7 linked regions of the Tribolium castaneum genome follow. The protein of the gene in region 1 binds, or shares a complex with, the protein of each later gene. Links are inferred from orthologs where the notes say so. Each region holds a gene or a part of one and is shown on either strand. Other genes may lie near its edges.

The links.
Region 2: Nup160 (region 1) and Nup153 share a complex: the UniProt entries of both Drosophila melanogaster proteins name them as parts of the nuclear pore complex. The link is inferred for Tribolium castaneum from reciprocal best matches to the Drosophila melanogaster genes Nup160 and Nup153.
Region 3: Nup160 (region 1) and PCID2 share a complex: the UniProt entries of both Drosophila melanogaster proteins name them as parts of the nuclear pore complex. The link is inferred for Tribolium castaneum from reciprocal best matches to the Drosophila melanogaster genes Nup160 and PCID2.
Region 4: Nup160 (region 1) and Nup107 share a complex: the UniProt entries of both Drosophila melanogaster proteins name them as parts of the nuclear pore complex. The link is inferred for Tribolium castaneum from reciprocal best matches to the Drosophila melanogaster genes Nup160 and Nup107.
Region 5: Nup160 (region 1) and Mgtor share a complex: the UniProt entries of both Drosophila melanogaster proteins name them as parts of the nuclear pore complex. The link is inferred for Tribolium castaneum from reciprocal best matches to the Drosophila melanogaster genes Nup160 and Mgtor.
Region 6: Nup160 (region 1) and Nup54 share a complex: the UniProt entries of both Drosophila melanogaster proteins name them as parts of the nuclear pore complex. The link is inferred for Tribolium castaneum from reciprocal best matches to the Drosophila melanogaster genes Nup160 and Nup54.
Region 7: Nup160 (region 1) and Nup75 share a complex: the UniProt entries of both Drosophila melanogaster proteins name them as parts of the nuclear pore complex. The link is inferred for Tribolium castaneum from reciprocal best matches to the Drosophila melanogaster genes Nup160 and Nup75.

The regions. Positions count from the first base shown.
Region 1 is NC_087395.1:25,114,010-25,118,147, reverse strand, and holds the start of Nup160 (nuclear pore complex protein Nup160 homolog), read left to right. Parts: upstream 1-1,338; 5' UTR 1,339-1,434; coding exon 1,435-1,519; intron 1,520-1,568; coding exon 1,569-1,991; intron 1,992-2,152; coding exon 2,153-2,342; intron 2,343-2,392; coding exon 2,393-2,738; intron 2,739-2,786; coding exon 2,787-3,038; intron 3,039-3,256; coding exon 3,257-3,620; intron 3,621-3,673; coding exon 3,674-3,846; intron 3,847-4,138. Other genes in the region: uncharacterized protein LOC655733, read left to right, coding at 292-322, 435-782, 830-962, 1,017-1,209. UniProt on the Drosophila melanogaster protein: Functions as a component of the nuclear pore complex (NPC). Involved in poly(A)+ RNA transport. Required for nuclear import of Mad. May play a role in double strand break DNA repair. Essential for nephrocyte development.
Region 2 is NC_087394.1:31,192,339-31,194,990, reverse strand, and holds the end of Nup153 (nuclear pore complex protein Nup153), read left to right. Parts: coding exon 1-459; intron 460-510; coding exon 511-590; intron 591-647; coding exon 648-702; 3' UTR 703-2,152; downstream 2,153-2,652. UniProt on the Drosophila melanogaster protein: Component of the nuclear pore complex (NPC), a complex required for the trafficking across the nuclear envelope. Functions as a scaffolding element in the nuclear phase of the NPC.
Region 3 is NC_087397.1:8,459,988-8,463,460, reverse strand, and holds PCID2 (PCI domain-containing protein 2), read left to right. Parts: upstream 1-1,454; 5' UTR 1,455-1,609; intron 1,610-1,675; 5' UTR 1,676-1,687; coding exon 1,688-2,884; 3' UTR 2,885-2,973; downstream 2,974-3,473. UniProt on the Drosophila melanogaster protein: Required for the export of nuclear mRNAs and involved in mRNA trafficking in the cytoplasm.
Region 4 is NC_087395.1:26,509,940-26,514,101, forward strand, and holds the start of Nup107 (nuclear pore complex protein Nup107), read left to right. Parts: upstream 1-1,362; 5' UTR 1,363-1,452; coding exon 1,453-2,316; intron 2,317-2,366; coding exon 2,367-2,528; intron 2,529-2,768; coding exon 2,769-3,229; intron 3,230-3,505; coding exon 3,506-4,162. Other genes in the region: sodium-coupled monocarboxylate transporter 1, read left to right, coding at 1-46. UniProt on the Drosophila melanogaster protein: Plays a role in nuclear pore complex (NPC) assembly and maintenance. Required for nuclear import of Mad. Mediates the association between the nuclear pore complex and a subset of active chromatin regions adjacent to lamin-associated domains.
Region 5 is NC_087394.1:8,229,026-8,232,525, forward strand, and holds part of Mgtor (nucleoprotein TPR), read left to right. Parts: coding exon 1-1,640; intron 1,641-1,691; coding exon 1,692-1,855; intron 1,856-1,905; coding exon 1,906-2,085; intron 2,086-3,500. UniProt on the Drosophila melanogaster protein: Component of the nuclear pore complex (NPC), a complex required for the trafficking across the nuclear envelope. Functions as a scaffolding element in the nuclear phase of the NPC.
Region 6 is NC_087397.1:2,066,925-2,071,032, reverse strand, and holds the start of Nup54 (probable nucleoporin Nup54), read left to right. Parts: upstream 1-1,308; 5' UTR 1,309-1,408; coding exon 1,409-1,466; intron 1,467-1,922; exon of another isoform or gene 1,923-2,598; intron 2,599-2,648; exon of another isoform or gene 2,649-3,392; coding exon 3,393-4,108. Other genes in the region: sra (protein sarah), read right to left, coding at 202-674, 720-912. UniProt on the Drosophila melanogaster protein: Component of the nuclear pore complex (NPC), a complex required for the trafficking across the nuclear envelope. Essential for the nuclear import of nuclear localization signal (NLS)-containing proteins in an importin alpha/importin beta-dependent manner.
Region 7 is NC_087399.1:876,580-880,879, forward strand, and holds Nup75 (nuclear pore complex protein Nup85), read left to right. Parts: upstream 1-1,500; 5' UTR 1,501-1,609; coding exon 1,610-1,633; exon of another isoform or gene 1,634-1,678; coding exon 1,679-2,120; exon of another isoform or gene 2,121-2,340; coding exon 2,341-2,594; exon of another isoform or gene 2,595-2,640; coding exon 2,641-2,763; exon of another isoform or gene 2,764-2,817; coding exon 2,818-3,036; exon of another isoform or gene 3,037-3,169; coding exon 3,170-3,285; exon of another isoform or gene 3,286-3,335; coding exon 3,336-3,872; exon of another isoform or gene 3,873-3,925; coding exon 3,926-4,130; 3' UTR 4,131-4,180; downstream 4,181-4,300. Other genes in the region: mRpS23 (small ribosomal subunit protein mS23), read left to right, coding at 1-20; uncharacterized protein LOC660898, read left to right, coding at 51-415, 636-879, 929-1,365, 1,411-1,498; oxidized purine nucleoside triphosphate hydrolase, read right to left, coding at 4,186-4,300. UniProt on the Drosophila melanogaster protein: Component of the nuclear pore complex (NPC) that seems to be required for NPC assembly and maintenance. Required for nuclear import of phosphorylated Mad via importin msk.

The sequences.
Region 1 (4,138 bases):
TCGTTTATCGATTAAGAATTTGTAGCAAATTGAGTCATAACATAAGTGAATTTCCTCGAAAAGTGCGCGGATTTTCGTTGACCGATGACGAATCGGTCATTTTTATGCAGCCCCCAATTCATCGCGTCAACAAAATGGGTTCCGCGAGTTTATATTTTTCTGCACATATTGCACTTGTTCCTTTTCATTAAAATGTTGGTTTGAAGAGAAATAGAAGGTCGCGTGACGTTCTAGCGTCTGTATAAATAATCCGCAGTGCACACTTCAAAAGGTCAATTTCCAGGATTGGTCATGAAAATTACAAGTTTCCTCGTTGTTGCAGGTGAGATTTTTGTTTGTAGGTCATGGTTGGCTTGGAAAATGTGACACATGGGTTCGTTTGTTTTGACCCAAGCCCACTCGAAATTACGCAATATTTGACCGAAACTTTTCAGGGCTTGTTTTGGCGAGTGTGGCGGGCCAGCAGGGGAACTCCTCTGACAAAATCTCCAGGTTTATCTATGATAGGTGTCGGGTTTATAGCACAGACGCTTCGGCTTACGATGATATAAAGACCCATTTGGGGCAATTTGGCGATTATCTTTCGTACGCTGCGAGTTTATTGCCCAATGGTAAGGAGCAGTTCTGCAACGACGAAAGGCCCACACTGGCCCGTCTAGCCGCCCAGCTTGCCCATGATGTCAAACCGTGTTTGCCCAAAGACGAGAAGTATTTGCCCAAGTTCATGGTTGAAAGCTTCACCTCATTTCTCGACTTTGTGTGTTCCCAAAGAACCATCGAAAGTAAGATTTAAAATTTTGAAAACTATTTTTTATCAAGGAAAATACAGATTTCTTCAGTACCCAAGGGGCAGATTGCCGCCAAAACTTGAAACTCAACCAAGAGGGGCAACAAGTTGGAAACTGCTTTACTAAACTATTCGCTCGGTTTAGCGACGTGGTCCGGAAAGACGACCTGTGCCTGTAGGTGCCCCCATGATTACAAACCCAACTTTTTCATCTTTCTTCTGATTCTAGTGACTTAAAAGCGTCCAAGAAGTGCTTCAGTGAGGCGATAGCCCGTAGTTGTCCCGATTTCGCCGCTTTTGAGTCGTTAAACAACCGATTTTTCCAAGCAATTCGCAAACCCTGTAACTCAGCTATTTCCATTGGCTTCAGCAGCGTTCTACTCCTCCTAGCATCATTCACTTCAACCAAGCTATTCTCATAGTTATTATATTATCCCTCCACGTATTATAAATGTTATTTTTGTTATAAATGTACGATAAATAAATAAATAAGTAGAATTTTGTCTTATTTTCTGACCCCGCGCCCTCTGGTGGCGAGTTAACCTGAGTTTGAAAATTATCTAACCGCCACTCGCCGACCTTGATTTTTTGTTTCCGTAAACCTAACCTAACTTTTGCACAAAAAACCGTTAAAACGGGCTAAAACCATGCAAGAAATCGCGTTGGGGTACCGGGAGGTGATCCCCGACCAGACGGTGTCCGATCCCTGGCGCGAAATCACCCTCAACACGGGTAATATCACAAAAATCGCCGATTACGTAAAACTGAGGTTATGTAACAGGGGGGACACAAGGGACGCTTCAAGATATCAAAGTCGCGGAAAGGGCCAACGGGTTTTGTTACCGCGACTCGACCAGACACCACACCAGGAATCGGTTTATCTACTGGAGGATTAGCCACGATGTCCTGGAGCTCGTGGAGCACAGTCTCGATATAAATCTCGCCGGAAATCGCATCAGATACAAATTTGTGGACACCCCGATTTTGGACGGGGTTTCCATCCATGAGACGTACGATAATGTGGTGGTTCTGGTGCCCACGGTGTGCAGCGTCCATAGGTTGGTGTTTCCGCATCCGGATAAGTACCACCGGCAGGACCATGTCGCGGGGGTTCACCCAGATCTGGCGGCGCCGTCGGTGTTCAGCGAAGCTACGGCCAACGAGGCGAGGGATCCCGCCACATTCCACTTTTTCACCAATTCGAGTAGGTCTTGTAATTTTTTAAGTCACGAGCCGGAGACGAGTGTCGTAACGAGCAAATCATAATTTTTTTTAAATAGGTTTGCCAAATGGCAAAATTAGATACGTTTGCATGATTATTTAAAATATTGGACTTCTCATGACTAGATGAACCCTTATTTAAAGGTTCTCAGCTGCCATATCTGGCCGCCTCTTCCCTGACCCTCGCTGAGGAGGAAGCAATTTTCGTGTTGGCCTACCACTCCGGCGAGATCCTCCTTCTGAGACAGTCCCCCGAGGGCAAAATCGACTCAGCTGAGCTAAAAAGCGAGTCAATCGTGCCCCGCTTTCTCTCAGGTCTCGCCGACAAGCTGCGGTACAACCCTTCATTTTTTCCGGCCCGGAAAACTGACGGTTTTTTTGCAGCCAAAAAGACAAAGAAGGCGACACTACCGTCAGCCTCATTTTACATACTTTCGGTCTTGAAACTTTCGCTTTGACACTTTGCCGCAACGGTCATTTGAAATTCTGGTCGTGCTCAAAGGCCGAATGTGTCTCAGTGATCGACGTCATGGCCGAAACCGGCGCCAGAAACCAGCTGCAAGGCGCTCAGAACCACATCCTGCGGAAAGCCGTCGATGGGTTTGATTCTGAGTGTCTGTTGGGTATTTTCATGAGTTTCGCAGCCAAGAGTCAGTTGCATGTGTTCAAGCCGATGCTCAGTGGCTCGCAGGTTCGGCTAGTGAGGCTTAATATACTTGATTTGGCTCAGGTGAGTCGTAGGTGGGATAAGTGATAGGGGGTAAGTTTGGGGTTTTAGACCGATTTGATCGATTTTACGATCTCGACAAGTCGGATTTGGTCGGTTTGGCGCGGAAAAGAGGGCCAATGTGAGGTGTATTCGGCCTCGAACCAGGCGGGGAGTCACTGGATTCCCGTGGTTCTGGAAAATGTGCCAGACGCCAGCCAACCGTTGAGCATCGACGGGGAGACGGATCCCAGGCAGAGCTACCTCCAGCACATCTTCCACCCGGGCAGGTTCCCCTTGCATATAATCAGCAAGGCTTTGAACGTAAGTTTTCAAGTCAAGCTGATTTTTTTACTGTATTTTTCGAAAATGTGCCATTTGTTTTTCTCTAAACCTCTTAGTTTCTTATTTGGTTGAGGCACAATTAATGTGACTCCTGGCGACCCGACAAAATAACAAATTGTTGCTTTTCAAACCTTTTATTTAAAAAATATACATAAAAATTATTGCGCGTTTTTTGTCACACCAACTGCTTATTATAGATTTACAAACGCTCGGCCGTCATCAGCGACTTGAACCTCTCGGCGGCCCATCTCAAGCAGCAGATCTGCATGGCCGTCGAAGACGAGGTCCAAAACGAGCTGAAGGAAACCGTCGTCAGCGACGAAGATTATCTCGAAACCGCCAGCTACTGCTGGCAACAATTCTACTCCTGTTGCGTCCAATACCACGTCGCTGGACTTAAACCTTTAGGCCTCCTTGTTCTTCCAAACTCCTCCGGGGCCGTACTTTTGAAAAAATCCATGATTTCGTTTTTGCGACCTCTCGATATTTTTGAACATTTCATCTACGAAAGCGACCACATGTTTAGGGACCAATTCACCAAATATTTCCTCTTGTCTGAGAGTAATTAAACCGCACAGTTAATTAATCAATTGTGATTGGTTCATTTTTTGCAGATGTTGATATCACAGACGACGTGATCAGTTTGTTCAAGGTCATTAATTATTTGGATTCGCAGATGAGTGAGATTTTCGCGTACACGTTCGAACGAGAGTTGGCACTGCTGAAGTCGCCTGATGTCGTCATGGGGGCTCTCCTTGAGCAGATCCAGCGCGAGATGGACACCGAGGTTCGTACTTTTTTTATGTTAAAAAAATATTCTGGGGCTTTTGAGCCCTAAAAAACGTTTTACAATTTATTATCTGGTACTTTTACCGTGGCGCCTGGCGAACCATTCTTATATTTATATCACAGAAAATTTTAATGACAGCTGCTTCTGTTGATATCTGCTCAAATCATTTACGGAAAACTCTTGAAGAATTTTAAAATTATTTAAAGCACTGCAATTTATTGTAGTTTTTGAGCTTTCGCGTATTTTTTCGATCTCGCGTAAATAGTTAAGCAAAAACCGCCCGATTTGT
Region 2 (2,652 bases), on another chromosome or scaffold:
GGTTCGGTTCCGAAAATTCCAGCCTTTGGGGCGTCCCAGAGCTTCGGGACGAGCGAAAGCAAGCCGTTTGCGTTCGAAAGTGCCCCCAAAAATGCGGGTTTTTCGTTCGGTCAGGCCGAGAAACCGAATACGACGCCCGTTTTCAATTTTGGGAGTGCAGCAGCAGGGGCGTCAAGTGCGCCAAATACAGGGTTTAGCTTCTCGGTGCCTAGTGCCGGGTTTAACTTTGGTGGTGCGCCCAAAGTGGAGAGTCAGCCGTTTAATGCCGGGGGGAGTGTTTTCGGGACGGCGGGACCAGCGGCCAAGAATGGGAGTTTCAATTTTGGGACAAATGCGAATAATAACAATCAGAAAGCGGTGTTTAGTTTTGGGGCTAATCAGACTAATCCGCCGCCGAGTCAGCCCAGTTTTCCCAGTCAGGGACAGAGTCAGCCGGGGTTTAATTTCGGAGCACCGACCGTAAGTTAATTGTTTTGTGATGGTGATTTTTTTTTAATTTATTGTTTGCAGCAACCACTTAATGTACCCGGGGGTTTCAACTTTACGGGCGCCCCACCTACATTTAACTTTACAGATGGAAATGCAGGAACGTAAGTAGTTGTATTTGTTTATTACGAGAGAAGTTACAAGTGAATGTTTCGGTTTAGGGCGCCGCCCCAGCGAAAAATCAAGAAAGCGTTCCGACGGACGACGCAGCGATAGTTTCCTAGAGTTTGTATATAGAGGAGTGATTGTATCGTGAAACAAGAAATTGGAGTTGTGTGAGTACGTGTTAAGTTTGCTTAAATTATGTAAAGAATAAATGTGTGGATCAATCACCTTGATATTAAAAACAATATTTGTTTTCAGACCTATAAATGTTAGCTAGGCATTAATAATAAATGGGCCACCTGTGAATATTCGAGTCCAGGCATTCGTCTTTCGAACATGTAATATAACGTTGAAAATCTTCAGAATTTATTTACCATATCTGAATGTCTGCAGTTACAAGTAATGTTCACAGATGCGTCGGTGTACAAATGACACTGTTGTACACGGCATGTTACTCCCTACATTGTATACCATAGCGTAGGCATTTCAAAGGTCTGATCCATAGAATGTAGAATTTTATAATGATGATGAAGAGGATTTTCATCAATATTGTGTGATGATGAATATGATGAAATATTTGTGAAATTTTTGAATGATTCGTACCATATAATATTTATATGACGGCCAATACTGGCTACTTTTACTGTGATATTCTTATGGGTCAGGCCCCATACATAAGTATAAACAATATGCATATAAATATAATATCTAAACTAATCAACACAGACAAAACGAATTATTGTTTTTATTGCAAAAGTCCATGGTAGAAGACTAGATTATTTTTTTACGTTGTAATTTGGTTTGTTGGAAGAATTTGGCAGCCAAGTTGTTTATCAAGGATTGCTGAGTATCGAACTAGTAATTATTGCAATGCAATAGTATTTATTTTTTATTGTTAATTTAGTTTTTGTCTGTGTTATCTTATCAAAAAGTAGGCTCACTCCTTAGTTCCTCAAATTGAAAAAGTTGTAAATATTTGTTTAAAAGTGTGGTTTTTAACAACACATCTATTTTGTATAATTATATTCGTAGGATATATTTAAATGAATAATTTTTGTTGTCTGAAATACTTGTGTTGTTTTACGTAATGAGCCGTTATTGGGCTCTTTTTATGTGAGAAGTATTAAAAGGAGTTAGACTGCTTCGTGTAAATATTGTAATTCTACATGAAATAAAACGTTTTGCTGAAAATTTCATTTTTACTTCAGCTATTGTTATTCCTAATTCATTTATCACGAGGTTGCGTTACTTTTTACGAACGGATGGAATTTTCAGCATATTTGTGCCTTTATTTTTTTAATGTATAATTTTATTAGTTATATTTGTCAAGAACTTGGCCTAGTTTTGTTTAAATTATTTTCGTTTGGGTAGTTTTACATATTTATGTTGAATGTGAAGTTTACAATGGAAAACAACTGACAGGAGCACCCTATTTTTTAATGTTCCAAATCATTCCTACTACGCTAGTATCTTTTTAAATTATGCAATAATTTATACTTAATAAAGCCAAGTTTTGTTAAATTTTGTTTTAGTTAATAAAATTACATTAGTTATAAAACCATCATGAGTATGTATTGACCTAGTTTCTTTTTAGATCCTGGTACTATCTGAAATTCCTGCAGTTGTTCTTAGTTACAAAATTTGTGTGGAGGACAATAACTTTACAACTAAAAGTCCATATAGATTAAAAAGTTTTAATGTTACTTGTATGGAACATTTCAATTTTATAAGATTATATATAACAGACATACACTCAAATACATGGAGACAACTATACAAAGTATTTCCTCAGCCAAATGAAACTGTGCTAAAACGTCTGAAGAGCCTTAATCCTGTGGAAATTAAGACTAAGGATTTGCGTCAAAAGTTGTACTTTTTTACAAGTTATAATTTTAAAAGTGAAAATAAAATATAATACAAAAGAGATGTAAACAAGATAATTGTATAAAATCGTCCTACAGTTGTCATATTCAATTATCTGGATGTACAAAATTAGTGTAACTTTATTTATATTGAATATAACAATTGTATTTTATAAATTTCTTACATTAAAGCAACATA
Region 3 (3,473 bases), on another chromosome or scaffold:
TATCAGACTTCAACAAATTGATTTTTATTGTGCTCTGAATCATCTAAAGAAGGCTCGATTTTTCATAGTTTATAAACGGAACGAAATCAACTAGTCCAAACCAACTTAATGCAATACGAGTTGATTAAGTGCACTACTATTGAACATTAAATGGAAAAATATTTACATAAAATATTTACAGAATTTAGATATGGATGTGAGCCCTCTGTTCGCCTAAAAATATTTTCAAGTTTCTAGCTTTACTCAGAAGAAAAATATGAGGAAATGAAGATGTGAACACAAATTTGCTTTATATTAATTTTTGAATTTTTTTACATAAACGTCTTTTTTACAGTGAAGGCTATTCCAAATCAAAAAAAAAACTTTCGGATTTAAATTCAGCTAAAAAAATTACATCAGAATCATATTTCAGTAAACGTGTCAATTCTGTTAAATAGTTCTTTATTTTTGATTCTTTTTTAAGTTGTTAATAATTACGTTGCATTTCTCAAACTATCATAATCATTAATCACACAGACATTCAAGATATAGAATATTGCTTTTTTATATTGTTTTATTTTAAAATTATAAAATGTAGATATAGAAAAAATAACTTTTTATGGTACATAATAAGGCATACTAAAAGTATTTAAAGCAAATTTGGAATTCTGTGTAATTATTTAGCTTGTCATGCAGTAAAAATATACTTTTGCTGGGACACCCTGTAAAATTTGTTTTTAAATTTTATAGATGAACATAAAAACCTTTTATATGCTTTTGTACGGTCATCATTTAAAACATAACTTGTTTGTAATTTAAACGTCGTCTACCTACTTATACTTATAAGTTTTTTTTTGTAAAATATGGTTTTGTTTTTTAAGTAGCACTATACAAACAAATACTTTTAAGTTCGTAATGTGTAGCTTTAGTTTCTAATAAACAGTACTTAATTTTTTTGTTTCATAAGGAGCTAAAAGTAAACTACAATTAACGTTTAAATTGCTTATTATACTGATTTATGGGTCTGGCACGTGAAGCATTATTAAAGTTTAAAATAGCAAAGAAGTAAATAATTTCTTTCCATAAATTCCATTACTAGGCGCTTTAAATTCATTATTGTTGAAGTTATTACTTTCCTGTGTAATGGATTTTTAAATTATGATTTATCCTTGACTAGAATAATAAAACGTTTTCACGACTGTGTTTATAATTTCCTAAAAATTTTTTAATAAAATCAAGTTGGATAAGTTCCCGGTCAAGTTGCATCAAGCTGTTCCTCGGAGCGCCATCTCTGTGTGGGAAGAAAACATGCGGCTTGCGAACTGGTCTACGAACAGTTTTCGTTTTTATGGCATTTTACTTCCAGGATTTGCATTAATTTAATCCCTATTATTAGTACTATGGGACATATAACACGAATTAAGCTCAAATATCTTAAATTTTGTTAGGTCACAGAAATTATTATTGATTTTACTTGTATGAATCGCACCGCTCCCTATCGGCCATTTTATCACCATTGCAAAGACTTGTTTATTTTCAAGCTTATTCAAACATTTTTTCGTCAAACTCGTAAGACATAATGTTCTTTGCGTAACGGAAGCAACAAATATAACACTTGTGCCTAAATCACGTGAGTAACAGTTCAATTTCATTTATAAATGAAGCGGTTTCGGTTAACTGACGCCCCTAACCTTAGTTTTTCAGCAAAATGACTTTTATGTCCGTTGCTCATTACCTACAACTTGTGGAAAGGTATTGGCGGTCTCAGGACGGTGCAAAAGTGGCCAGTTTTCTGTCTCTTCGCCACGAACATGCAGGTTATGCCAATTACCACATTGAGAGTCCTGAGGGAATAGTTGAGCGTTTTTTGACCGCCCCTATCGACGAATTAGTGATTTTGCACCTAAAATGCCTGTTTGCCATAAGCCAGAGTGACTATCTATCGGCTTATAACATTCAGAGCAATTTGACGCAAACTTTCACTAAGATCTTGCAATCGCAAAAGGAGGAGAATTGGTCTTTGCCTATTATGTATGTCTTGTGCTTAGACTTGCGTCTTTTGGCGCAATTAGCCGAGAATCAGAGGAGCGGAATTAATGAGAAGCCCGGCGAAATGCTCGAGAAGGCAGCAGAATGCTTGATGGGTTGTTTCAGGGTGTGTGCTGCTGATAATAGGTCAGCAGAGGAGGATACAAAGAGGATAGGGATGTTGGCTTTGGTGAATCAATTGTTTAAGGTTTATTTTCGGATAAATAAGCTACATTTGTGCAAGCCCTTAATCAGAGCGATTGAGTCATCACCGTTTAAAGAGAGTTTTTCTCTGAGCCAACAAATCACATATCGGTATTTTGTGGGGCGCAAGGCTATGTTTGATAGCGATTATAAAGTCGCCGATGAGTATTTAACTTATGCTTTTGAAAATTGTCACAAGCTCAGTAAGAAGAACAAAACGCTTATATTGATTTACTTAGTTCCTGTGAAAATGTTGTTGGGGTATATCCCAAGCAAGGAGGTTCTGGAGAAGTATGACGTCATCCAGTTGTGGGATTTAGTACAAGCTGTATGTCAGGGTAATCTCAAAGCGTTTGACGAGATTATGGAAAAGCACGAAACCTTTTTCATCAAGTGTGGAATATATCTGATTGTTGATAAACTGAAAATCATAGCATATAGAAATTTGTTTAAAAAGGTGTATTTGATTCTAAATACGCATCAAATCCCTATTGAAGCACTGCAGACTGCTTTAGTGTATTTAGGACAGACTGATGTTGATTTGGATGAAACAGAATGTATTGTTGCTAATCTTATTTATGAAGGGAAAATTAAAGGATACATTTCGCATCAACATAGGAAGGTTGTTGTTAGTAAACAGAATCCATTTCCGCCACTTACAAGTCTATCATAATTAAGTTTTTATAAGTTTGTATAATTCGTCGTTCTCTACCTGCATTGTAACTATTTTGTAATTGCATATGAAATAAACTGTTAAAACTACCCGTTTTTTGTGTTTTATTAAAGCATAAACGTAACGTCTATAAATCTCTATACTGCGAAGTGACTAAGCGACCCTGCTGTCATAAGAAAAAAGCTAAATGTTGTATGCATAATAAAAACCGCATTAAAAATGTTTATGGAATTTTTATTTTATTAAAAATTGCTTTTGTTATTCGAAGAGGTCACAACTACAGTTGTTTTTTTTTAAATTGCTCAGATTTAATCTCGATACGAATCGTTTTGAAAATCAATAATGCATATTAAATCACCTAATGATTATGCCCATATAGGTAAAAAATATTCGTTTAAGCTTTACATAATAGATACGAAGTTAATACCGAATACATCCTTTAAATGTACTGTAAATATTATATTACATATTGCGAAATTTTGCACAAAAGGATTTATTTTCCCATAGGTAACTTTGTTACCCGAAAATTAAACTCATACATTTTATATGGAAATTTTATCATAGTCAAAAACTATTTAGTTTTTTATTA
Region 4 (4,162 bases), about 1.4 Mb from region 1:
TTTCACTCAAGACGTACAAATGGAAGTGTACAGAACCAAATTATGATTTTTCTTTCTTCCTAGAGATGGATGTGAGAAATGGACACGGACTCGTGTTTTTAGTGCCTTTTATTTGGCAACATCTGTGATCTCTAGCTGATAAGATACAAGTGTTCGATTGTTGAATTATGCAAAGACTACTTAACTATTTTTATACCTTATTACATTGTTATTATTGAATAAGATTGTACAACTTGATACGCGTACGTGTTGAAATATTTATTTTCTTTTGTAAGCTTAGACTAGTGCTAACAACGAGTATTTATTACAACATTTTAGTACAATAATATTTAATTAATAATAAGCGTAGTGTTTGTTCAAAGAGTTTAAGCTACCAACGAAAATATAATATAAATAAAAAAAATTTTGTGGATTTTTGCCTCCTTTAAATGCCTACAACCGAAGTTATTGACAAAAAAAAACGCTCCAAGTACTGAAAAGTCGCCCAATATTTCCAGAATCTTAAGTCAATGAATTTCCGAAAATACAAATACATACCACTAATGTGCAGTAATCTAATTTTTGTTGAAAAGCGTACAATTTACCTCACTTTGTGCTTAAAATGTACTTTTCCTAACCACAAATGAATTGACAAATATTTGGAAAGTGATGTTTTTTACAAGTTTTCAAGAAAACTTGCTTTTTCACCAATTTCCAAAAATAATGCCCACAATAATGTGCAATAATCTAATATTTTGTTGAAAAACATGCAAGTTACCTTACTTTGTGCTTGAAACTTCCAAATTAACACTGAACTTCTAAACTAACACTTAACACTTCATTCTTCCAAATCCTGATTGTCACAGTAACTGAATTTAGGAATATCCGGGGAAAAACTGGTGTTTTTTTTCCACAATTTATAAAAAAAACGTAATTAAGGTAACTTTTTCACAAATTTTTCATAAATGTAGACAAAAAAGATCCGGGCACACACGAGAGACGCGATAATGGAAAAAGTGTTGCCAACCAAATTCACTGAATTTCCGAAAATAGTACCAATAATGTGCTATAATGTTAAATTTTGTTAAAAAAACATGCACCTTACCTTACTTTGTCACTGGAATCACCAAATTATGTAAAAATTACACTTAACACTAAGTAACATCATTTTTCCAAATTCAGTATTCACACATGATTTACAAATTTTTGAAAAAAACCGGTGTTTCCTACCACAATTTATAAATTGAACTTAATTAAGTTACGTAATTCAACACTTTTTTCACCAATTTTCCTTCAATTTGAACAAAAAACACGATAAACACAAACAGACGCGATAATTTGAAACAAATGACGATCGAGGAAAAGAAAAACTGTTACCAACCTGAATCTAGGGACTTTGCAACGCTCTGAGGCAACGCTAGACTTGTTTTTTGAGGTTATGCAACGGCTTTTTGTGTGTGTTTTTTATTAAAAATGGATAATGATTTGGAACGGTCGGTGCGTCTTCTCGAAGACGCTCTCCAGACCCCCACAAAAGGGCTATTTAAGGTCTCGACCGCAACTCCAAAGCGTGAAAAACCTAACCTCAGCTTTACAATAAACCCCGAAGACTTAACCGGCCTGGAATATGGAAGTGTTTATCAAAACACCTTGTCTTTATTTGTCGATGATGACAAAACGGTCACCGGGTCGGTGATCCAAGCAGGAACTCCATGGAAAAACACTGTTAATAATTTATATACAGAGTTTGCGGATATCCTGCAGGGGTCCACCGGAGGCCTTGATATCCTGGACGTGGCCGAAGACTTGGCGAGGTGTTGTAGTGACGCTTTGGCGGTGGTTAAGTCACTGAAAGCCAAAGTGGCCACTAGTGAATTAGCCGAAGAGAAATGGCTCGAAAATGAGCGGAATAATTGGAGACTGCTGTATGTCCTGTACCAGGATCGGATCCAGGCCCAGAACCACAGTAAGGAAGGGTTTGAGGAGGATTTCGGGAGCAGTGAAAAGAACTGTGTGTGCGAACTGTTCAAACGAGAGAATTTGGTTAGGGAAAGCCAGTTGGTGATCGATTGGCTCGAGAGGAACGCTCTGGAGAAGGGGGACCCCATTTTAATGCACTCAGACTGGACGTATGGATGGGAACACACTTTGCATCAATTGCTAGCACCTGATGCTATTGCAATTGGGAGTAATGTGGATATTATCAAGAACATACATCCAGATGCGCCACAGTTTCAGCGCTTATCGCTGCACCACTTGGATTACGACAATGACAAAAAACTATGTCAGAGAATTTTTATGGAAATTAGGTGCGGCAACCTTGAGGGCGCCCAGGAAGTTTGTGCTGTTTTCAGCCTTTTATTATTTATTCAATAATTAAATTTCAGTTATGTTACAACAGTGGTTATCCATGGCGCGCTGCGATGTTAGAAGGCTGGAAGCTTTTTCATAATCCCAACCTGGAAACAAGTCTTGAAGAGTATAAAGACGTAGAAGGGAACCAAAGGCGGGATTTGTGGAAATCTTGCGCATTAGATTATTGTCATAGGGTAAGTTTTTCGTTCCACAGCCTCTTTGACAGTTCGGGAACTTCGCTATCTTTTTTTTTGATACCATTGTTACTAGATAAACCGATGTCACTTTGGCAGTTGTAAAACATGTATTTATTTTATGTTTATTTATTTAAAATTTCTGGAAAATAATTAACCAAATTTAGGACTGAAGACGAAGTTTCGTATCTATCAAGGAGGCTGTTTTATAAATTTGAAAAAACTACTAAAAAATTTCAGTCAAACTTGAACATTTATGAAAAAGCCGCCATTGGTAGTCTTTGTGGTTTCTTGGAGGGCATTTTGCCCGTTTGTACCACATGGGAGGACCACCTGTGGGCCTACATGCGAACCATGGTCGATATTCGTGTTGAATCGGAAATTCGCGACTCAATCATTAAAAACTACATACCACTACCTGAAGAATATTGGGAACAAAAGAAATCATTAAGTGAAATTTTTACAATTTTGGAAGCCTCGAAAAATATTGACATTGCAAAAGAAGCGCATGAAATTGATCATGTAATTCAGAAACTTGTCATTTTAGACGAAATTCCCACACTGATACGCCTCCTAGATCAGTGGAGTGAAGATCTAAGTGTTACGACACAATCTCTTCGATTTTATGCTCACTTAGTTTTGTTTTTTGAAAGCGTCGGAGACTCCACTCATAGAAAAACGTGTGAAAAAATCGTCGAAACGTAAGTTTTCTTGGTTGTATAACTCGACTTAAGGCCGGGCGCTTTAGTCTCCCGGTATGGTGACTATAAAAAAATTTGTGTCTAGTGTATTTTATGTTCTTAATGTTGACCATAATCTCGTCAGAACTAAATTATTGCTTTTAATATTTTTACCACTTTTTTATAGCTACGGTATTATTTTTTGTTTTATTTGACTTCGAGCTTCTATAAAAAAACATAAAGTGTTTGCTACTCACCGCTGCGTTGCTTGTGTTTTAATATCATTTGTTTAATTAGATATATCGAGCGTTTGAGCGAAATGAACGAAACCCAGCTTGTGGCCTTCTACGTGAGCAAGCTGGGAAAATCCAAACAAATCCAACTTTACGCCAAACACTGCGAAAAACTGCTTTCGACTGAGCAACGCAAAAACGCCCTTACTTACGCTGAAGATTTCAGTTTGGACGTATTTGCTATAACGCAACAAATCGTCGAAATTATAACAAGCCGACCGTCTGAATCCGAACTTCCCGGTAATCTCCAAGGTAAAATCACCGAAATCGACGAACTCAAAATCTCCGCTATTGATTGGCTGATGTTTTACGAGGAGCAACGAGCCGAAGCATTGGCTCAAACCAATTCTATTATTTTCAAATTTCTGATTTTGGGCAAATTAGAAGCAGCCCAATTGGCAATCAATAAAATTCCTTACGATTCTATAGAGAAGATACGCAGCGAAGAGCAGATTCATCAGATTGTTAAGAATTATTTGAGTTATAAAGCGTATTTGGATGCACATGAGGCGTTTAACGAGTGGTTTAGACAGTATAGGAATAAGCCGATGCCACCACCTGAACTGCCCGAAAATGCACAATTTACTGAAAAAGTTGCTCATAATCATAAAGTCTCGCAGTTTAATGCCGAAGCGGAACGGTGGAAATTGACGACATCGCA
Region 5 (3,500 bases), on another chromosome or scaffold:
TTTCAAAGACATGGATGCGCAAAACAGTCTATTGTTGGACCAGATTCAAGCTCTCAATACGCAACTATCTGTCCTTCAGGCACAAGCTACCGCAGAACCAAACCAATCGGCCGACTTATCGATGAGTAAATCGTTCACTGAGGACGAAGTCAAGTCTTCCGAACAGTTGCTCACTATAATTAAATATTTGCGACAAGAGAAAGACATTGCTGTAAGTAAATCCGAAATCATGGAAGCCGAATACGAGCGGTTGAAGTCACAACATGAGATGCTAACCAAACAGTTGGAGGAAGCCAAAGCTGCGGTCGAAACCGAGCGACAGAAGTCGGAAGTTTCGGTCGTGACGGCAGCCAAACATGCCGAAGTTTTACGCAAAGTTGAGACACTCAACGCTATCACTGATAGCAATCGAGCGCTGCGTCAGGAACGGGATACGATGAAGAACCAAATTAGTGAGTTGAAACAACGGGCTGAGACACTAGCAGCTGAGTTGGCCCCAACTTTGGAAAAGAATCGAGAGTTGAATATTAAAGCCGAAGCGATGCAAACTGAAAATATTTCGCTGAGGGCTGAGTGCACGAAGTGGAGACAGAGGGCGCAAATGTTGATCGAAAAATCGAACCGGACTAGTCCCGAAGATTGGAAGAAATTGTTAAATGAACGCGAGACTCTTGCCAAACAATTGACCATCGAGAGAGGTAACGTTGCGAAAATCACTGATGAGGTCAATACGTTGAAGCAGGATAAGGGTAAGCTTGAGGAACAGTTGAGGAATGTCAGGTCACAGAATAATAACCAAGCTGAAGAAATTGCCCGGTTGAAGGAAGATATGACTTCGTTGCAAAACCAAATGCAACAGTTGACACAGTCGTTGGAACAGACGCAAGACAGTAACAAACGGTTATTGGAGGAAAATCGCTTGTTGACTGAACACACGGCTGGGAAAGACGTCAATATCACCGAACTTAAAAACAATCTCACGCAAATCCGCAAAATTGCGAAGAAATACAAAATACAGTGTGAGGATCAGATTAACGAAATTAAAACCTTGCGAGAGGAGAAGGAATTAAAGGAGACTGAACAAAACTCGAATGAGAGGCAGTTGCAAGTGCAACGCAGCGAAATGGAAGAGAGAATATCACAAATCGAGCAAAGTAACAAGGACGTGATTGAGCGACTGAACCAACAAGTCGCAACCCTGACTGAAGAAAACGAAAACTACAAGAAGGAAATCGAAAGCCACAAACAGGGTTTCTTAGATCGCGAAGAACGGTTTAAAAATCTCTTCAAAAATGCCAAAGAACGGATCGTGACATTGACCGAACAGATGAATACTTTGAGGGGGCAGTTGGGTAACCAGGAGAGTTCGTCCTCCACCAATGAAAATCCCGAAGAAGGGACGAGTAGCAGCAATAATGATCTCTTGACGAAAATCGATAATTTGGAAAAGGAGAAGGCGAATATTTTGGCTGATCGCCGGCAAGAGAATGAGAAATATGCGTCTGAAATTGAAGCGTTAATGCAGAAAGTGTCGCAGTTGCAACGACAGTTGGGTCAGCAAGGTTCCAAGCCTAGTACGAGTTCAGGGTCGGAGAAGCCGGCGAATGATCCACCCACTGCGAATATTAAACCAATGGCGGGTAAGAAGTTCTAAAAATAATGCAGTAAAAAGGTAAAATAAATGTGTTTAGGTCACTCGACAAATACTCAAACTCAGTCAGTGCCCATACATCCATGGCGCAGTGGTGAGACACCTCTGGCTAGTATAAGGCCGATGTCGCAGCAAGTTAGGACGGTTACTGTTTTACCGACGAGTCAGAGTCCAAGTGCGGTTATGGTTCCTCCACAACAACAAGTGAGTTGTTTTTTTTGTTGGGGGTGTAATGTGATTACTTTTGTGGGTAGGTTCATACTACAGGATCAAGCACAATTGAAGCACTTTCGAGTAGTAGTCCGACTAGTTCGCACACTGATTATGTACCAGCGACTAGTTCAGCTAGTCCGGCAATGTTGGGGCCAAGACAGGTTGTTGTTCCTCCAACTCAGTCCTCGCAGGACACGGAAGATGAAGACGCCAATATGCAGGTATAGTTCTTCAAATTGTGGATTTTTCGAAGTAGCTTTTTAACTTTTTTTACTAAGATTGTTTTAATAATTGTGAATAAATAAAAAGATCGGGATTACACATTTGAATGATTGGTTATTTTTATTTTTTTTATGACTATTATGCAAAGTATTTAAAGACCATAGCTGAAAAAATATTTTTTTAAATTGTTTTAATCGATTTTACACCAAAGAAAGTGCTATTGAACTTTCTTTCGGAAGAGCATGCTAATGTTTGATTTGTTTCACTCGATTTAGCTCGTTTTTGAATGAAATTTTTCCAAATAGAAGCCCAAAAAATTATAGAGTTTGATAAAAGAACATGTGTTATTTTAATATTTTCCAAACAACTAAACATATATTTCCAATTTTTTGTGTGAAACAGATTGAAAAAATTAATAAATTTAGTGCAATAAAATAATTGTTTTTCTTATTCCGAATGTTTTGATACGTTTGTGAAAAAACAAATCGAATTGTCACCAAGTTGGACCGAAAATTGTGTGAATTCTTGGGTTTTCTGTATTTTTAAACATATTGTTGAGAAAATATTAAAGTATTTTTTAGAAACTTGATCTCAATACAACAGCCAATGAAAACCAAAGTCAAAAGTGGCGTTATTTTTGTCTTTCTTGAACATTTAAGCACGTTTTGGATCTAAAATTCCAATTTGTTTCTATGAGAAACCGTAAAATTATCAATTTAAATTCAGAATTATATTCTTTTTTTGACTTTTTGACCACATTTTTTAACTTAAATTTTATTTTTTCTTTAAGAATAGATCGAGACTTGATTTGTTATATACCTAAAAATAACAAAATGAATGGAGCTTAGTTTCTTTCAATTTAGCTCATTTTCGACCGAAATTTCGTCAAATTAAGCCGAAAAAGCACAACAAAATTATATAATCTATTTTTGAGTTCAAAAGTTTTTTATCTAAACGTTAGATTGATTTCAACATTTATTTATTGGACAAGAACTTTTTACCAACATCCAAATTTGGTAAAAAGTGACATTATTTGTTGCTTTTCTTGAGCATTTAAACACATTTTAGATTTAAAATCTCAATTTGTTTCTTCGAGAATCCGTAAAATCATCGATTTAAATCCAGAATTCTTTTTTTTTTGAAAATAGGTCAAAAAGTCACTAATTATTGAAGTTATTTTAGCCATTTTTTGGTTTTGTTGAGATAAAAACCAAGTTTTTCTTAAATAAATTGCATAAAATTGCATGAAAAATCACCGAATTAAATCGAAATTGATGTTATCTTTTTCTTGTCTACAGTAATTTAATAATTAATTATTACATACCTAAAAATGACAAAATAAATGGAACTTTTGGTTAGTTTCTCTTGAACTATCTCGTTTATGTGCGAAATTTGATCAAATTAAGCCGAAAAA
Region 6 (4,108 bases), on another chromosome or scaffold:
GCTGAGTACTTTAGGAAATTATCTTTTATTAGCAACACCTTTATTATCACATTGAGTTAAATTAATGATACAGTTACAACCAACAAATGAATCACGTAATTCCATAATAAATGAGTGACAGATTCTACATAGAGAGAAATTGACATATTGAGAGGCTCTGAAGCTCACACTTAAAATAACCTTGAAGACCTGTACAAATCATTAACTCCGTTCCGGACACGACGTCTGTGGCATCCTGCCTTTGGCCCCCACGCCGTCCGCCCCCAGGGCCGTGTGCACCACGATGCTGGGCTGGCCGGGGGAGGGGGGGTGCACCTCGTGCGACGCCCCCGGCGTGAGGGTGGCCAAAGCTGCAAGAAGGTCATGATTGATAATGGGCTCACCTTCCGGCCGGGGCTCCCAGTCGAGGGGGGGCGACGCCGGCGGCGAGATTAGGAACTGCTTGAAGGGGGCTGGCGGCTGCAGGCTGGGGTTTTTGACGGGGGTGACGGGTTGAGCAAAGTAACACGTAATCACTGAGTCGTTGATTTTGTATTGGTGGAGCTGAATGCGGGCGCTGGCGGCTGCCACGGGCGTCTGGAAGTTCACTCTCAGTCTTCGGAAACTGCGCAGCCACTGGAATGTCACGTCCGGGTCGAAGTTCCGGAACAGGTTCTCCATTTCGCGCTTTTTCTCTGCAATTTTACGGTCAGATCGGGTGAGGGCTGGGGGCGGATTACCGGGCGAGGTGAAGACACTGTCGTGGATGTTGGTGACGATGAGGGACGTCGGCAGGTCCTCGAACTCGTCGTCGGTCACATGCTCGGGGCTGTCGATGTCGGCCTCCGCCAGCAGGTTGGGGTGCACGTTGGGAAGGCCGTCTTGGTCGTTAATGATGATATCGTCGTCCATTTCGCCGTTGCTTTCAGCCATTGAAAAATTGGATTAAATTCACCGACACAGGATCTACCGCGGTTTAAACCCCATAAAACAATGCGCACTTTTTCGGCTAAACTAATCAAGGCTAACTCTTACGCTACTAAATTTTAACACAAAAACATTGCAATATCAAAGTGCAAAAAACACAACCCAACAATTGCAAATGCCAAATGTCAGGAATGAATGACACTTGACAAGGGGATGAAAGCCGAAAGTTCGCCAGCCCGAATTGAAATACAAAGGAATGAGCTTAAAAAAACGTAAAACCCTGAAATGGATAGATTTCCAGATAATTAACATAAACACATGAGCGACTTTTTGATTTCGTATTTTTTTGTACAGAAAACGCTGAAATTTTGTGAAATTGCCGGTGTATAACCTAGGTTTGAAGTTTGACAGTTCTGTCAATTCGTTAAGTTCAATTTGTGAATACATAAAAAATTGTAATTACTATTTTTATATAAATACTAACGTTAAATTTAATGCAGTTATGGCATTTTCGTTCGGAAATGCAAACCAGTCGACTTTTGGAAGCCCGGCAAATAAACGTAAGTTTTAGAACCGTAAGAAAGTTAGGTTAAGTTCTTTCTATTTTGTTATTTGGTATTCACGGTTTTATTTATTTTCCCTTTAAACCGTAATTAATGAGATTTAATTTTGCCCAAAACGCCTGACTAATGTTTGTGTTCTTAATTTTTAACCAGAAAAAATCGAAAAAGTGGCAGCGTTTTGTACCATTCAGACTCAACAATACAAATCACCACACTTTTTACAGATAAAATGTTAATTGGTGTTTTAAATGGTTATAAAATTTAATTGTGATGATTGTTAACGTGTGAGTAACAATTCAACAATTTTTGTTTGAAACAAATCGCTAAAAAATGTTTTGTTTAGTGTTTAACTTAAATTTTTTGTCACGTCTGTGCTGCACAGTACACAAAAGTAATTTCATTACTTAACTGATAAAACATGAAAAACTGGACGTGTTCAATAAAAAACCTAGATTATAATTTATAAACCAAGAATTTATTTCGGCAATAACATTTTGAGGATATAAATAAACCTACCTAAGCGAGTAACAAAAATATAATGATAGTAAAATATAACAGATTATCACAAATATAATTAATACGATTTCATTCTTCCGTTTGAGATGGTAACTTGGCTCAAATCGGTTGCACAATCAAGCGATCCTGAACGGCTGGCTTTATATCGCTTATAAACGACGATAAGAATGACGATAATTAAGAGCAGACTGACGATTATAACTCCCAAAACAACGTACAAAGTTTTTCCCTCAACGTCGTATCCTTCGTAATATATTTGGTTCGAAACATCCGTAGTTGAAGAAAATACGTCAAGTGGGGTTGAAGTTGTATTTTGTGTACTGTTTTTTATTTCGGCCACTGCTGAAGTGATGTTGTTTTCAAAAATACCGATTGTTTCGGTCGTACTGTCGGTCACTTCGGTTATCACGGTGGTAATCGTTGTTGTAATATTTTGAGAAATCTCAGGAGTGGTAGCAGTTTCTGCAGTAACCGTACTGTTGGTTATTTCGCTGATGAGGGTAGTAGCTGGGGGAGTGAAACTCTGCCCAATTTTGAGTACGTTTTGATCGTCTGTGACTTGAAGGGTCGTTCCAAAACTTTTAGTAGCCCCTTTGATAGGAAATGAGAATAGCTAGAATCGGAATTTTTAAATCCAACTTGAAAAATAAAAATTAAACTCACCGTAGGGCCCGACATTGTGCTTTTTATTAGCGAAGGAAAAACACTTAACTCTGCAAGAACTTATCGGCGACTGAAAGTTTCTTTCCACGCTTTGAATTTTTATCGCTGGTGTTTATATGTGCGAACACGGTTTTCCTGCTTTCCTTCCATTCGCAGTAAAATAACAACCCGGGGATGAGTCACAAAATGCTGTTTAATGCAATTTCTTGTGGTTGGGATAAATAAAATCCGTCATTTTGTGATAACAAATTGGGAAAGCGGCACTGCAGTCGAAAAAAACTTGTTTTGAAATTATCTACGTGTTTAAATTCTTTTTAAAAAATTTGACTGGAATGACACTTGAAGGATTGAAATAATTTCATTTATTTCGTGTTTATTTCGTTTTTGCATAAATTTAAGTCTTAACAACAGCGTATTTTTTGCACGATAAGTATTCGCATAGTTCAAGTTTGACTTGCATTTTTTACCGAGGAGTAGTTTCCGTTTGGTCATTTCCCCGTAACAAATACTTTTTTCATGGAAATTCTTTTCTTTTCGTTGAAACAACCCAAATAGAAAAATAAATAATTTCAGGATTGTGGTTTCGTAGCCATTTCCTTTGGAAAACTACAAATTTCGCTGAATTTATTCAATTTATTCGATTTTTCCTGAATTAAAACGCACACTTCTTATCGTCTTAGATTATTTATTAATTTTTGTAAACACCTAGTCATAGTTTTATGTTTTTCCAATGTTTATCCACAGCCACCGCATTCGGTACCCCATTTGGGGTAACCACCACCACGGCTAGTACCGGCTTCGGCAGTTTCGGCTCTTCCTTCGGAGCCACTTCGCAGCCGTCGACCGGTTTCGGCTCAACTTTCGGAGCCCCAGCTCAATCTTCAGGTTTCGGTAGTACTTTCGGTACTCCTGCAACTTCCACTCCAGCATTTGGTTCGACTTTCGGAGCCCCAGCATCAACCTCAGCCCCGACATTCGGTACCGGCTTCGGTCAATCGACCGGCGGCGGCCTTTTCGGTACTTCCACAACCAAACCAACCCTTTTCGGAACTCCCACCACTTCAACCTCGTTATTTTCGACCCCTAGTTCGGCCCCCAGTTTATTCGGGAGCGGTACCACCACACAAGCCCCAAGTCTTTTCGGGGGGGTCACCACCTCGACTCCTAGTTTATTCGGAGCTGGCAGTACCCCAGCTCCGAGTTTGTTCGGTACTGCGACAACTTCGGCCCCGAGTTTATTCGGGACTTCGTTCGGGGGCACGGCCACCACTTCGGGGGGGCTGTTTGGGGGGAGTACAACAGGGGGAGGGTTTGGTTTATTCGGGGGTACTACTACGACGAGTGCGCCGTCGTTGTTTGGGGGGTTTGGGGCTACGCAAACAACAGGGGGGTTTGGGGGTTTTGGGACTAGTGGAGGGTTCGGTCAACAGACACAAGGGAGTTTGTTTGGGGGCGGGTTT
Region 7 (4,300 bases), on another chromosome or scaffold:
TTGATATATTTAAATCGTAGTATTTTTTTGTTAAAATCTAGTCTTAATAAATGTTTTTTGTGACACTTTGTTTTATTTTACGTCAAATTAAAATGGGTAAAAAATTGAGTCGTCCACGAGGTAGCGAACAAAGCACTTATTCCCATATTTTTTATACCGGGAGTATCGAAACTATTCCACCATCAATCACCTATCCTTCGATATGTACTTCCCCCTCGTTTCATTTGTCTGAAAAGCCTTCGGTGTCGAAGTGTGACAGTGAATTGATTCATTACGGCGAACTGCAGAGTATGTACATCAAGTCTCAGACTTTCACAGCTGATCATTTGGCCCCCTTGACCATCAGAACCTCACAGTTAGTGCTGTCGCTTCTGAAGAGGCATTTGGGGCAAATTGTTAGCGACATCCACGCAGGGTACTGTTTTATTTAATTTAATTTTTTTGCCTATTCAAAAAATTCATAACTCAAAAACTAAAATTCGTAGAACAAAACGGTTTATTCCAGTGAATTCAGCGACTCATTTTACGTATCATATGTTTTTTTTACAACACTAGCTTACTCCAGAACGTATTTAAACACTTATTTGAATTTGAAAAATGGTGGATGCGCCGGGTTATTTTCTATTTTTTGGCAGGACATTGAAAATGCCTGATAAAGTGGTAGAAAAGTTTGGGGCTGCAAGTGCCCGGAACCCGAATCAGCAAACAGACACATATACTATCCAAAGACGAATGATCACTCATTTCGTCTCGTTACTTCACGTTCATGAAATGGTTTTAACTTATCTCAAACAGAGACGCATCGAACAAGCGCTCGATTTAATCAAACAAATTGCAGTTAGCCACGCACTTAAGGGAATCACAGTGACTGAATTTCGGGTAAGTCCCGATAATTCTCTAACTTGTTTTGGCAAAATACGACTTGCAGTTAGTGGACTGGTTTATTGTCAATTATTTGATAAAAAATAAAGTAAGCACTGACGAGAACATAAACCACTTGATGCTTTACTTAAGCACCCTTTCAAATTACATTGTGCGATATTTCGAAAGTCAAAGTGTTCGCCATACGATGCTCCGGGACATGACTAGTGTGAAAGTAAACGATCGGAGCAACAAAGCAAGGGAAAACTACCGTTTAATGAAACAGTGGACCTCCAGAATTGAACATTCCAGAGGCCAAATTAAGGATCTAATTGACAAGCTCCTCGCAGATCAAGCCCGCATGCAGGAAGCCAGAGAGGCAGAAATTAGGAGCATTGACACTCAAACGCTCAAAGAAAAAGACTTCATTATGCGATTTTTCGTACGCAAGAAACCGACAGAATCGCGCTCAACGTCACACTCGCACCAGGAGAAGGCCTCAACGTGAGTATCACCCCAATATAACAAATTCAAAATACCCGCCCACAGGATTGACGGCGAAGTTAAATCCCTACCGTTACCGTTCTCGCTACCAACCCAAAACGAAAGTAACCCTAGTAACCGAACAGATTTCTAAATTACCGACCCGGCTAACCGCTCTCCTCAAACAAAATTCGAAAAAAATACGGTTTTTTTGAATGAAAAGGCGCAAAATTTCGTGTTATTTAACGCTTCCCGACCCGTATTAATGGACAATACCGCCAAAACTTTCGTAAGCAGCGATCAATTTTTGAGGTTAGGTCATAATAACTTGTAGGTTATTCCAAATGAGTTATGCCGACGTGCTGGAGTGGCGGCTTCGTGGCTTTCCGTCAACGAATTCGGTGTTTTCGGCCACCAGAAAACACCAAAAGTTGATAAACCGAGTCACTTTGCCCCCTCGGACGCCTCTGTGTTTCAGCTGCGCCCCGACATTATTCTCTTCAAACCAATTTTACGCAAATTGGTAAATGAGGCCAACGGGACGTTTCTAACCCTTCAAGCCCTTGTAGCCACTGAGGGCGACCACAAGGCCGAATTATTGAAACTTAGCCGGCAGTACAGGTCCATAATAAGGGCCTGTTTGGAGAATTTGCAAGACGAGGTGATGCGAGCCGATGGCGATTATCGCGAAGAATTGCAAAATTACATTACGATTTTTTACTCAGTTGAGTGTATTTGGCACTTGTGTGAAATCTTATTTGTTGATGCGGTCCCAGGTGGGTTAGTGACACGGATATCTAAAAGCTAGGATGCGAAACGACGTACAAATAAAACGTCCTGAACTCGGTAGTTTTATCGTTAACTATATTTAAAAAAAATTCCGGACTTTTTTAGGTTCAGAAAATCCGGTAATTTCGTACATCGTTTCCTCCTAAGTTATAGACCTCTGTAGTGACACAAAATTTGGGGATTTTTGCCAAACAGTTGGGGTTTTAGGCAACATTGTTTTGCCCCACTTACTGGACTGGATTCGGTTTCATTTTCCGAAATATGACCGAAATGCGGCAAGTATGTTGGCTGGGGATTTGGGTGGTTTGGAGTCACACCCTGACTATTGGGAAACTGTCATTGGGTCACTATTACAAGGGCGGGTCAAGGTCGTTAGGGCCCTACTTAAATTACACTCAGAAGCTGAGTCACAACCTTTCAGAATTGTGGATCAGTGTCTGAGAGCAATGCCGGTTTATAACGTAAGTAGGCTGGGAGAAATTGACAGGTGTTCATGGCCGACTTTAGATGTTTAGTGGGACTTCAATCGCTGAATTTAATCTACAATGGAATCATTGGGTCGTGGATGTTCAATCGAAAATTGATGCGAAAATGTTTATTTCTTGTTATAATCTCAATTTGATTATGAAGGTTTTGTTTTAAGTGTGTTTGAGTTGGTAGTTTTCTTTATAAGATTTTTTGTAGCTTACGGTTGGTAACGAAATTGCATGGGGGGAAATACAGCAGTATTGCGAGACGTGGTATGAAATGTTAGCCGCGTGGTTATTTTTTACCCAACCTACTGTTAAATCGTTTGAGTTGGGACAGTTTGCCAAACAGTGTATCACGAAAATGTCCATAGGGAATAGAATTAAGCATTTGGATAGGATGTTGTTGGCAGCAATGGAGTTTGATATTTTACAGGTAATATGGCGCCACCTCTGTTAAGTTATTAAATAAAACTGAGACTTTTGAATAATCCTGTATTTTTCGGCTATACTTTTAGTTTTACACTTTTTTGCAAATGTACACATAAATTCTAACATTTCTTTGCCAGGTGATTAAAGAAATCCAAAATATGACAGACAGTGGCTGGTTTGTGAGCCACTTAACCGACCTACTTTACCATTCAGGCCGTCTAAGCGACACAACTATCGAAACTATTGAAAATTTGTGAGTCCCCGATTTTTTTTAAACCGTTTATTTTACAATTATTATTTCAGCCACCCTGATAAATTGCGCGAGTCATTTTTAATCGATTATGGCTCGCTTTTAATGGGCCATAAGTCACTATGGCAGGTCGGTTTAAGCTACTTGGACCACTGTCCCAGCGATGGCCCTGAAGTCACAAAATTACTACTTGCAAGACTGCCTCTAAATTCCGAAATGCGGGCTGAGAAAATTGTGAGAGAGGCTCTGAACCGGAATTTAACCGAAACGGCACAAAGTATTTGTAAAGTGCAAGGAATGGCTTGTAAAAACCGGGGGCGTCTGGGACACGCCCTCGCCTGGGCCCTCAAATCACAAGACGGCACTTTTGTGTCGTTTTTATCGAACAAATTTCTGCGAGAGTATGCCGAAAGTGGCGATTTGAACAGTATTGATCTTTTGGATAATCTCGGATCGTGTATTTTGGCAAGCGATAGGTTGATGTTTTTAGGCAAATATTACGAATTCCAGAAGTTATATCAAGCGAACGAGTACAAAGAAGCCGCCAATTTGCTCGTTTCGTTACTTGAGTCGAAAATAATACCAAACTTGTAAGGGGAAAACACTTAAAATTGCGGTTTTTTATCTAAAGATTATCTTGTAGTTTCTGGAGTATTCTATTAACTGACGCAATACCGCTACTTGAGTGCGAAAAAATGGTTTTTTCCTCAACTGATACCTACATCATTATGCAGTGTTTGGAAGAGCAGGAAAAAACCAAAGACTTGAAAGACAAACTTCCGATCTTGAGACTGTCAGCGACCCGGAATTTAGCACGAGCTTTGGTACACGAAGCCCAATTAAAATGATGATTTTTTTAACAATTTTTTATTAAATAAATACTTTACGTAAACAATAATACTTTTAATTGGCCACTTTAAGTGCACTCGCCAAGTCCTCAAATTCCTCAATTTTCGTATCAGTGATTGTGTCAGGGTCACTGTAAGTCACTCTGGCCGCAAAAAATTTCTCTTTTAAC